2 linked regions of the Canis lupus familiaris genome follow. Each later gene encodes a partner of the first gene's protein in a complex. Links are inferred from orthologs where the notes say so. Each region holds a gene or a part of one and is shown in the gene's direction. Other genes may lie near its edges.

Region 1 (3,818 bases):
CCTGTGCAAACAAATTTTGGAAACCCTCTTTGGAGTCCGTGACGTGGCATTATATAATCCTAAAATGGAGTGCATAAATTGTTAGTCCTTAGTTGTTCTAGGAGCTTCCCCATATTCATTTTGAAATGAACATTCCACCAGGTAATAACTGTTTTGCATAATTTAAGTGTGTGATTATACCTGTAAAAGCACATCAGTATGATTTGTCTTTATATGGATTTCAGAATTACAAACGCCATATGGACGGCATGTATGGGCCTCCAGCCAAACGCCACGAGGGAGACATGTACAACATGCAGTATGGCAACCAACAGCAAGAGATGTATAACCAGTATGGGAGCTCTTACTCCGGACCAGACAGGAGGCCCATCCAGGGACAGTATCCATACCCCTACAACAGAGAGAGGATGCAGGGCCCCGGGCAAATACAGCCCCACGGGATCCCGCCTCAGATGATGGGTGGCCCGATGCAGTCGTCCTCCAGCGAGGGGCCTCAGCAGAGCATGTGGGCGACACGCAACGATATGCCTTATCCCTACCAGAACAGGCAAGGCCCCGGCGGCCCCGCCCAGGCACCTCCTTATCCAGGCATGAACCGCACGGATGATATGATGGTACCTGATCAAAGGATAAATCACGAGAGCCAGTGGCCTTCTCACGTCAGCCAACGTCAGCCTTATATGTCCTCTCCCGCCTCCATGCAGCCCATCACGCGCCCACCTCAGTCATCCTACCAGACGCCGCCATCACTGCCAAATCACATCTCCAGAGCCCCCAGCCCCGCCTCCTTCCAGCGCTCCCTGGAGAGCCGCATGTCTCCAAGCAAGTCTCCCTTTCTGCCATCTCTGAAGATGCAGAAGGTTCTGCCCACCGTCCCCACGCCCCAGGTCACAGGGCCGCCCCCCCAGCCACCCCCCATCAGAAGGGAGATCACCTTTCCTCCTGGCTCAGTCGAGGCGTCGCAGCCAGTCTTGAAACAAAGGCGGAAGATTACCTCAAAAGATATCGGTAAGCATTCCAGGCTTTGTCCTGAAATGAATCCCGGTTGTGATCTAGAATTTTAATTTTAGTTTAGATATAGCTCTTGTTAATCTCAAAGGGATCAAATTCTTATGACGACAAACTATCGAGACATGTTTTTGTACAGGAGCAAGAGCTGGAAGCTGCTAATCTGAGTTAAGAAACAGTGCCAAAGAGGAGCATGAATTAAAACAGTATTTTTACACATGAGTGTTATTTGTGTGAGAGAGTAGAGCTCCAAGTGAGAGACCAGGGGATCCTCATGACTATATTTTGTACTGCATTTTGAGCTCAAAGATTTGGTCTCAACCAAGCACTTAATCTCTGCAGTATGAGCTTAACGGCCAAGAGGCTAATGAAATGCTGAGGTGACCTGAAAAAATTTGAAGGTGAGCCACTCTGTCATTTTGGTAACACCATACAGACAGTGAGCTTCCCTGGGGCAAAGTAGAACCCTGCATATGATAAGTAGATAAATATATAGTATGATATACGGAATTTGATATGTTACGTGTAGAAATGACATGACCCCTATAGCACTGGTGGATAGGGGCCAAGGAGCTATTTCAGGTGGATGCTCATGTTTACTCACTCTGTTCAGGATGTTCTGAATACTAGTCAGAGATCTGGAATATCTGGGAGAACTCGGTTTTTCTGCATTATTTTTGAAGTACTTTTAATATAGCAAAGGACATTAGAGACCTTGGTTATATTAAAAAAAAGTTTTTTCAAAAACCTCGAAATCACTCGATTTGAAATCATTTACTACAGTGACTAGGAAATCAAAGCTATTAAAGGTTTTCTTCAGCCTTGGGAACTAAGGACATATACAGGCAGAGAGGGGGAGAGAAGTCAGGACTTGTAGAGAGGGCTGCTGGGGCTGAGAAGAAACACAGACAGACACTGAGCACCATTTTCTATGTTGAAATATATATGTGAGGATATGCGCGTGCGTTTGTGTGTTGATGTGTTTCTATGTGTGCGTACGTTTGAATAAATAAACATATTTAAATTTTTATAAAATTTCTTTGCACACGTAGATCAGCATTTGTCGTGAGCCTGGGGAAATTTATGTTCCTTTTTTTAAAAAGAAAGTTTGCTTTTTCTCTTACAAAAGTATTGCCTCTTAGAAAATATGGAAAGTAGATGAAATTAAAATAGAGGTGGAAACCCACAGCCCCCTCCAGCGGGTGTGATTGCTTGCCGGCGTCTGGTGTGGGCTGTTGCTCTGGTGGGTTCTCATCCCACCGGCCTGCTTACGCCATATGCTCCTGCCGATTTCCTGAGAAAGAAATTTCAGACATACGATGGGCCTCTTCTCTTAGTCCCATCTTATGGCAAATCTTGCAAATGTTTTATCTAATCCTTCTGTCTTCTTCAGGAACAGGAAGGGGGAAAAGAAAAGTAGAGCCCTTCTGTTTCCCATCCCCTGGCTCAGAGCAAGCTGTTGAAAAATCCAAGCCTTCAAAGTGCTAATAATTGTCAACAGCGTGTTCTGAGGGCAGAGGCTCAGATAGAAGAGGACAGCAAGGGAATATCAAGACTGTATATCCCAGAATGTGCTGTTTGGGAATTAAATTTTGCCTATATTCTGCGTATTTGCCAGCCTTCCAAAGATGCCACCCCAAGACATTTGTGAATGAAGCAGGCAAAAGAAGACAAATATCATTTCTTGGCTTGACTCAATTATTAACACTCAGCTGCATCATTACAGAGTCTGTTAGGGGCTAAAGGAAACAAATCAGAGATGAGGAAGGGCCGTTGTGCTTAGCCACTGCCACCTCTAGCAGCATGTTGAGCTCATGTTTAACCAACACATCCAAAGGATCATAAATGATGAAAATTTTTTAGTAAACTGTCACCTCCATTTAAAATATGGAAATGATCACGTTTCACCGTGCCTCAGAACATTTGTTTGAAATCAGTATTTAACTCAACATTCGACTTCTTTTGTTGTTGTTTTTTTTATAATTTTTAAAAAGATTTTATATATTTGAGAGGAAAAAAAAAGCATGCATGAGAGTGAGCTCACGAGCAGTGGGAGGGGTAGAGGGAGAAACCAACTCCCTGCTGAGCAGGGAGCCCAATGTGGAACTCGATCCCAGGACCCTGGGACCAATACCTGAGCCGAAGGCAGACACTTCACCAACTGAGCCACCCAGGCACCCCTACACTCAGCTTCTCTTTCCTTATTCTTCTGTTATTTTCTTCTGTCCTTTCATGCATAGAGTTAATATTAATTATGCCCTGATCTTTCCCCTGGTTTTAGTTACTCCTGAGGCTTGGCGTGTGATGATGTCCCTTAAGTCAGGTCTTCTAGCTGAAAGTACTTGGGCTCTGGACACTATTAACATTCTCCTGTACGATGACAGCACCGTCGCTACCTTCAGTCTCTCCCAGGTAAGCCAGTAACCCATCCATGGGCCCAAGTGGCTTAAGAAAGGGCTGTAGTGCACAGTGTCAGCAAATGTGAGAGGTGATTGGCGCCCCCAGCGGACGTGGCGGTCCCAGAGAATTGAGTTGGGAATAAGTCACTTCACGCTCTAGTATTAGCACACACATACTTGTTTTTATCACAAAGAAACTATCCCCTTGTGTGCACGCACATATGTGCGTGTGCATGTGCGTGTGGAATAGACTGTAGTAAAGGTGAGTTCCTTAGAATGACTGTCAGCAGGCAGGCGGGAGAGAATCCAAATATATCATCAAGCTGGGACTGGAGTCAGTATTGGGTATGCAGGAGCTTTCTCTGGGACATACCCTGCTTTCTAGGGAGACCAGGCCTCTTTCTTTTAATT
Region 2 (3,818 bases), on another chromosome or scaffold:
AGGTGTCAAGAGGTCAAGGGACTCATCCAGTCATCTAGGTCTCAATTTATAGAGGCCAATGACTAACTCAGAAATATTTCAGTTTCCCAGCACTGAGTCAGCTCTCTCCCCTACAGCTCACCTCTCCCACTTAAGCCTGGATGCCTCCAGTCTGAGGTTCTAGGCCTGGACTCCCAAACAACATTGGGCATGTGAAATGCCACTCTTGCCAGTGGGTGATCAATGAGCCACCTTAGTCTCTTTCAGAGCGGGCATCTGGTGAGCAGAGAAACTTCTGGGGCATTGGTTGTCACAAGGTATCCTCTTCCTGTGCCATCCATGGTCTTTTTTTCCTTTCCCTTTCCCTTTCCTCTTCTTTTTCTTTCTTTCTTTCCTTTTCTTTCGTGTGTGTGCCAAAACCCGCTATCCATGGTTTTAATGCTTCCCTCACACTCAGCAAATAGGTAAGAGTGCCCTCAAAACAAACATTCACATGCATATACAGACATGCATATGCACATGCACACATCCTGACACGCATAAACGCATACATATAGGCACACATCTACACACATGCTCACATAAGAGTCGCTCAGCTAAGCCAAGCTGTCGGAGCTGCTCCTTCACCTTTGCTATTAAAATTGCTGTGGAGGTGGTGTCAGGCCAGGAAAACAGCTGGGGAGAGATAGATGGGGAAAGGGAGCTGAAGATGGGTTAGCTGAGCACGGGTACACGTGTATATGTATAGGGCCCAGGCACCGGGGACGGGAGAGGAAAAGGGGGCACTAGAAAGACAAGGATAGAAAGAAACAGGGAGAAGATGGAGACACGCCCCCTCCTGTACCTCTCTCCTCCTTCCCTTCTTCCTTTCCCTCCTTCGCCCGGTGATTTCATTCAGACTTGGGTATGGCAGAACCTTGATCAGGAGCCAGAGAATGGACGACTCTCCAGGACTATGGTGCCCTTTTCTCGACCCCATTTAAAAAAAGTAAGAGAGCAGGGGCCCCGTGAGACGTCCTGAGGCGTCCTGGTCTCCAAATGGACAAGGTTTCCATCTCTTGTGTACGTCTGCTCTCTACCTGGCTATCTGTTAGAATCGATCTCGAAGTCCTTGCTATCCTCCCCACAATCTTAAAGTTGCGGTGTCTGCCCCTTTAAAGCAGCAGCCCCGGGTCCGGTTATTGTCTCGCCTTGCAGCCAATCCACGGCGTCATTGGGGGCGGGGGATCCGGCCTCCTGATTGGCTACTGAGCGCCCCGCCCCGCCCGGGATCCCGGGAGCTGTCCGGCCGCCTCGGTGCTGATCCCGTCGCCGCCCACGGGCCGTGAGCAGCGCTAAGAGGGCATTATGAGCGGGGGCGTCTACGGCGGAGGTGAGCTAGCCTCGGGCTTCAGGCTACCCAGCCTGCTGCGGCCTCACCGGCAGCCCTGCACCCCGAACCCGCGCGACCTAAGCTCTGGGCACCCTAGGGCCTGTCACCCCGGCGCTCGAACGGGTCCAGCCCTGGGTTTGGGTCCTGCGCCACTCCTACCTTGGTCCTCCCAGGTCGGTCGTTTGCGCGCACTGGGGTCACTCTCCACCATCCAACTCACCTCCTCCCGGCCCCCTGGCCCCTTCTTTCCCGGCAAGGAGAGTGGCCTGAATAAGGCCACTGGGCAAGAAGGGACTCTGGGGAGGCTTGATCCCCACTCCCAGGACCCCGGACTTCAGGCCGAGCTCCTACTTGCCCCGGCAAGCGTTGAAGGTGGCGAGACTGGCTCTGCCTTGACCTCCTCTCCGAGCTATCCAGGGGGAGAGAGTTTGGGAGAGGTCCCCTCACACACCTGTCTCCCCACACAGATGAGGTGGGGGCGCTGGTCTTTGACATTGGCTCCTTCTCAGTCCGCGCTGGGTACGCTGGGGAGGACTGCCCCAAGGTGAGCCTTCCAGCCCCATCCCCAAGTCCTAGGGCCTCGGACTCCCCTCCAGGCTTCCCAGTGACCCAGGGTTCTCACAACACAGAGAGAAGCTCTGCAGAGCGGGAATGTGGGAGTAAACCCAGGGGCGGGCTGAGGGCCTTGCTATGGGTCTGGATAGGGGCAAGAGGTTGATCCCTCTTCCTGCCCATGCCCCCTCCAGGCTGACTTCCCCACCACGGTGGGGCTGCTGGCCGCGGAGGAGGGGGGCGGGCTGGAGCTGGAGGGGGAGAAAGAGAAGAAAGGGAAGATCTTCCACATCGACACCAACGCCCTGCATGTGCCTCGGGATGGAGCAGAGGTCATGTCGCCCCTCAAGAATGGCATGAGTAAGGAGCCCCCACCCACTGTCTCCCACCACAGACCAGGATCCCACTCACCACAACCCAGGACATATCACCCCACACTTACAGAGTCTATCTTGCAATTGCCCACATCCCAGGAATTCCCTCACAGCTTCCCACAGCTGACTGGTTCCCAGCCCAGGGGCCCAACAGATTCCCAGGAAGGGGGGATTTCTGCTAGAACTGATCTCACTTCCCCTCCCCTGGACTTGGCATCCCTCCTTCCTTTGCTTTCTGTCCCTGGACCCCTGCCGGCCCACCTTCATCTCTCCACGCTGGCCTCCTGGCTCCAGTTGAGGACTGGGAATGCTTCCGCGCCATCCTGGATCACACCTACAGTAAACACGTCAAGTCCGAGCCCAACCTGCATCCAGTGCTCATGTCTGAGGCCCCGGTAAGTGCCTCACCCAAACCCTAGTCCAGCCCCAGGTGCTCCCTACCTCCTTTCTGCCATTCACTTCTCCCTTCTTTTTTTTTTTTTTTTTTTTTCACTTCTCCCTTCTGAAAGCATCTGCCATTGATCACTCCACTTAACTTTTCAGACTTTTCTTCCAACTCCACCATCTTCAAGCACTTTTTTTTTTCCTCCCTGGTTTAGTCTTTATCCCTCTCCATCCTCCTGTTTTATCCATTCATATCTTTTGCCCATTCAGCCTTATCCACTGCTGTTTCTCCCCCTCCCCCCCCCCACCAAAGTCCTTTTGGACTTTTTAACTTAAAATTTTTGTCAATGTTATATATGCACATAACCACTTTGATTTAGAAAATATGTTAAAGAAAAAACGGCCATTCATATCCTCTTCCTTCCATTCCACTTTTCCAGAGGCAACTGCTTTTCATTTAGAGAAGTTTTGTCATATTATTCTATATCTCTAAATATCCCATTCAAATGCTGCTTGTGGATTTTATAGTTTTAGGGATTTATTTCCCACTGTAGAAAATAAATATTGAGGGGTATCTGAGTGTCTCAGTCAGTTGAATGTTGGGACTCTTCATTTTGGCTCAGGCTGTGATCTTAGGGTCATGAGATTGAGCCCTGCATGGGGCTCCATGCTCCATGGGAATCTGCTTGAGATTCTCTCCCTCCCCCTCCCATTCCCCCTCCTTCTCCTTGTACACACTCTCCTCTAAAAAAAGAAAGAAAGAAAAAAAGAAACATTGAGCTCTCTTTCCTCCTCCAGCCCACACCACACACTTCCCTCATTCCTCACCTTTAAGTATAGTTGTATTTTAGATTTCTAAAAAAATTATTATTCAGTATTTACATTCTTGTGTTTATATATGGTAATCAAGCCTCAGGCAGGCAATACTCTGGTCACTTTTCCTTTCCTGCACAGCTCCTTTACATAGAACTGAAAATTGCACTGATTTTTATTTTGCTTAGCTTTCTATTTATTTAATGATATGACCCTAAGTTATTCATCTGCTATTATTTATCTGCTTATGTTATCTATATCCTTTCTCAAACATTAGCTCCATTAGATATTCTATCAATTTGGTCTTTTTGAAGAAATCTCTCCAAAAACCCACTAATTGCTCC

The links.
Region 2: ARID1B (region 1) and ACTL6B share a complex: the UniProt entries of both Homo sapiens proteins name them as parts of the neuron-specific chromatin remodeling complex. The link is inferred for Canis lupus familiaris from reciprocal best matches to the Homo sapiens genes ARID1B and ACTL6B.

What each region holds. Positions count from the first base shown.
Region 1 is NC_049222.1:47,279,003-47,282,820, forward strand, and holds part of ARID1B (AT-rich interactive domain-containing protein 1B), read left to right. Parts: intron 1-224; coding exon 225-1,008; intron 1,009-3,289; coding exon 3,290-3,420; intron 3,421-3,818. UniProt on the Homo sapiens protein: Involved in transcriptional activation and repression of select genes by chromatin remodeling (alteration of DNA-nucleosome topology).
Region 2 is NC_049227.1:8,990,913-8,994,730, forward strand, and holds part of ACTL6B (actin-like protein 6B), read left to right. Parts: intron 1-877; 5' UTR 878-1,326; coding exon 1,327-1,351; intron 1,352-1,818; coding exon 1,819-1,895; intron 1,896-2,097; coding exon 2,098-2,263; intron 2,264-2,571; coding exon 2,572-2,672; intron 2,673-3,818. UniProt on the Homo sapiens protein: Involved in transcriptional activation and repression of select genes by chromatin remodeling (alteration of DNA-nucleosome topology).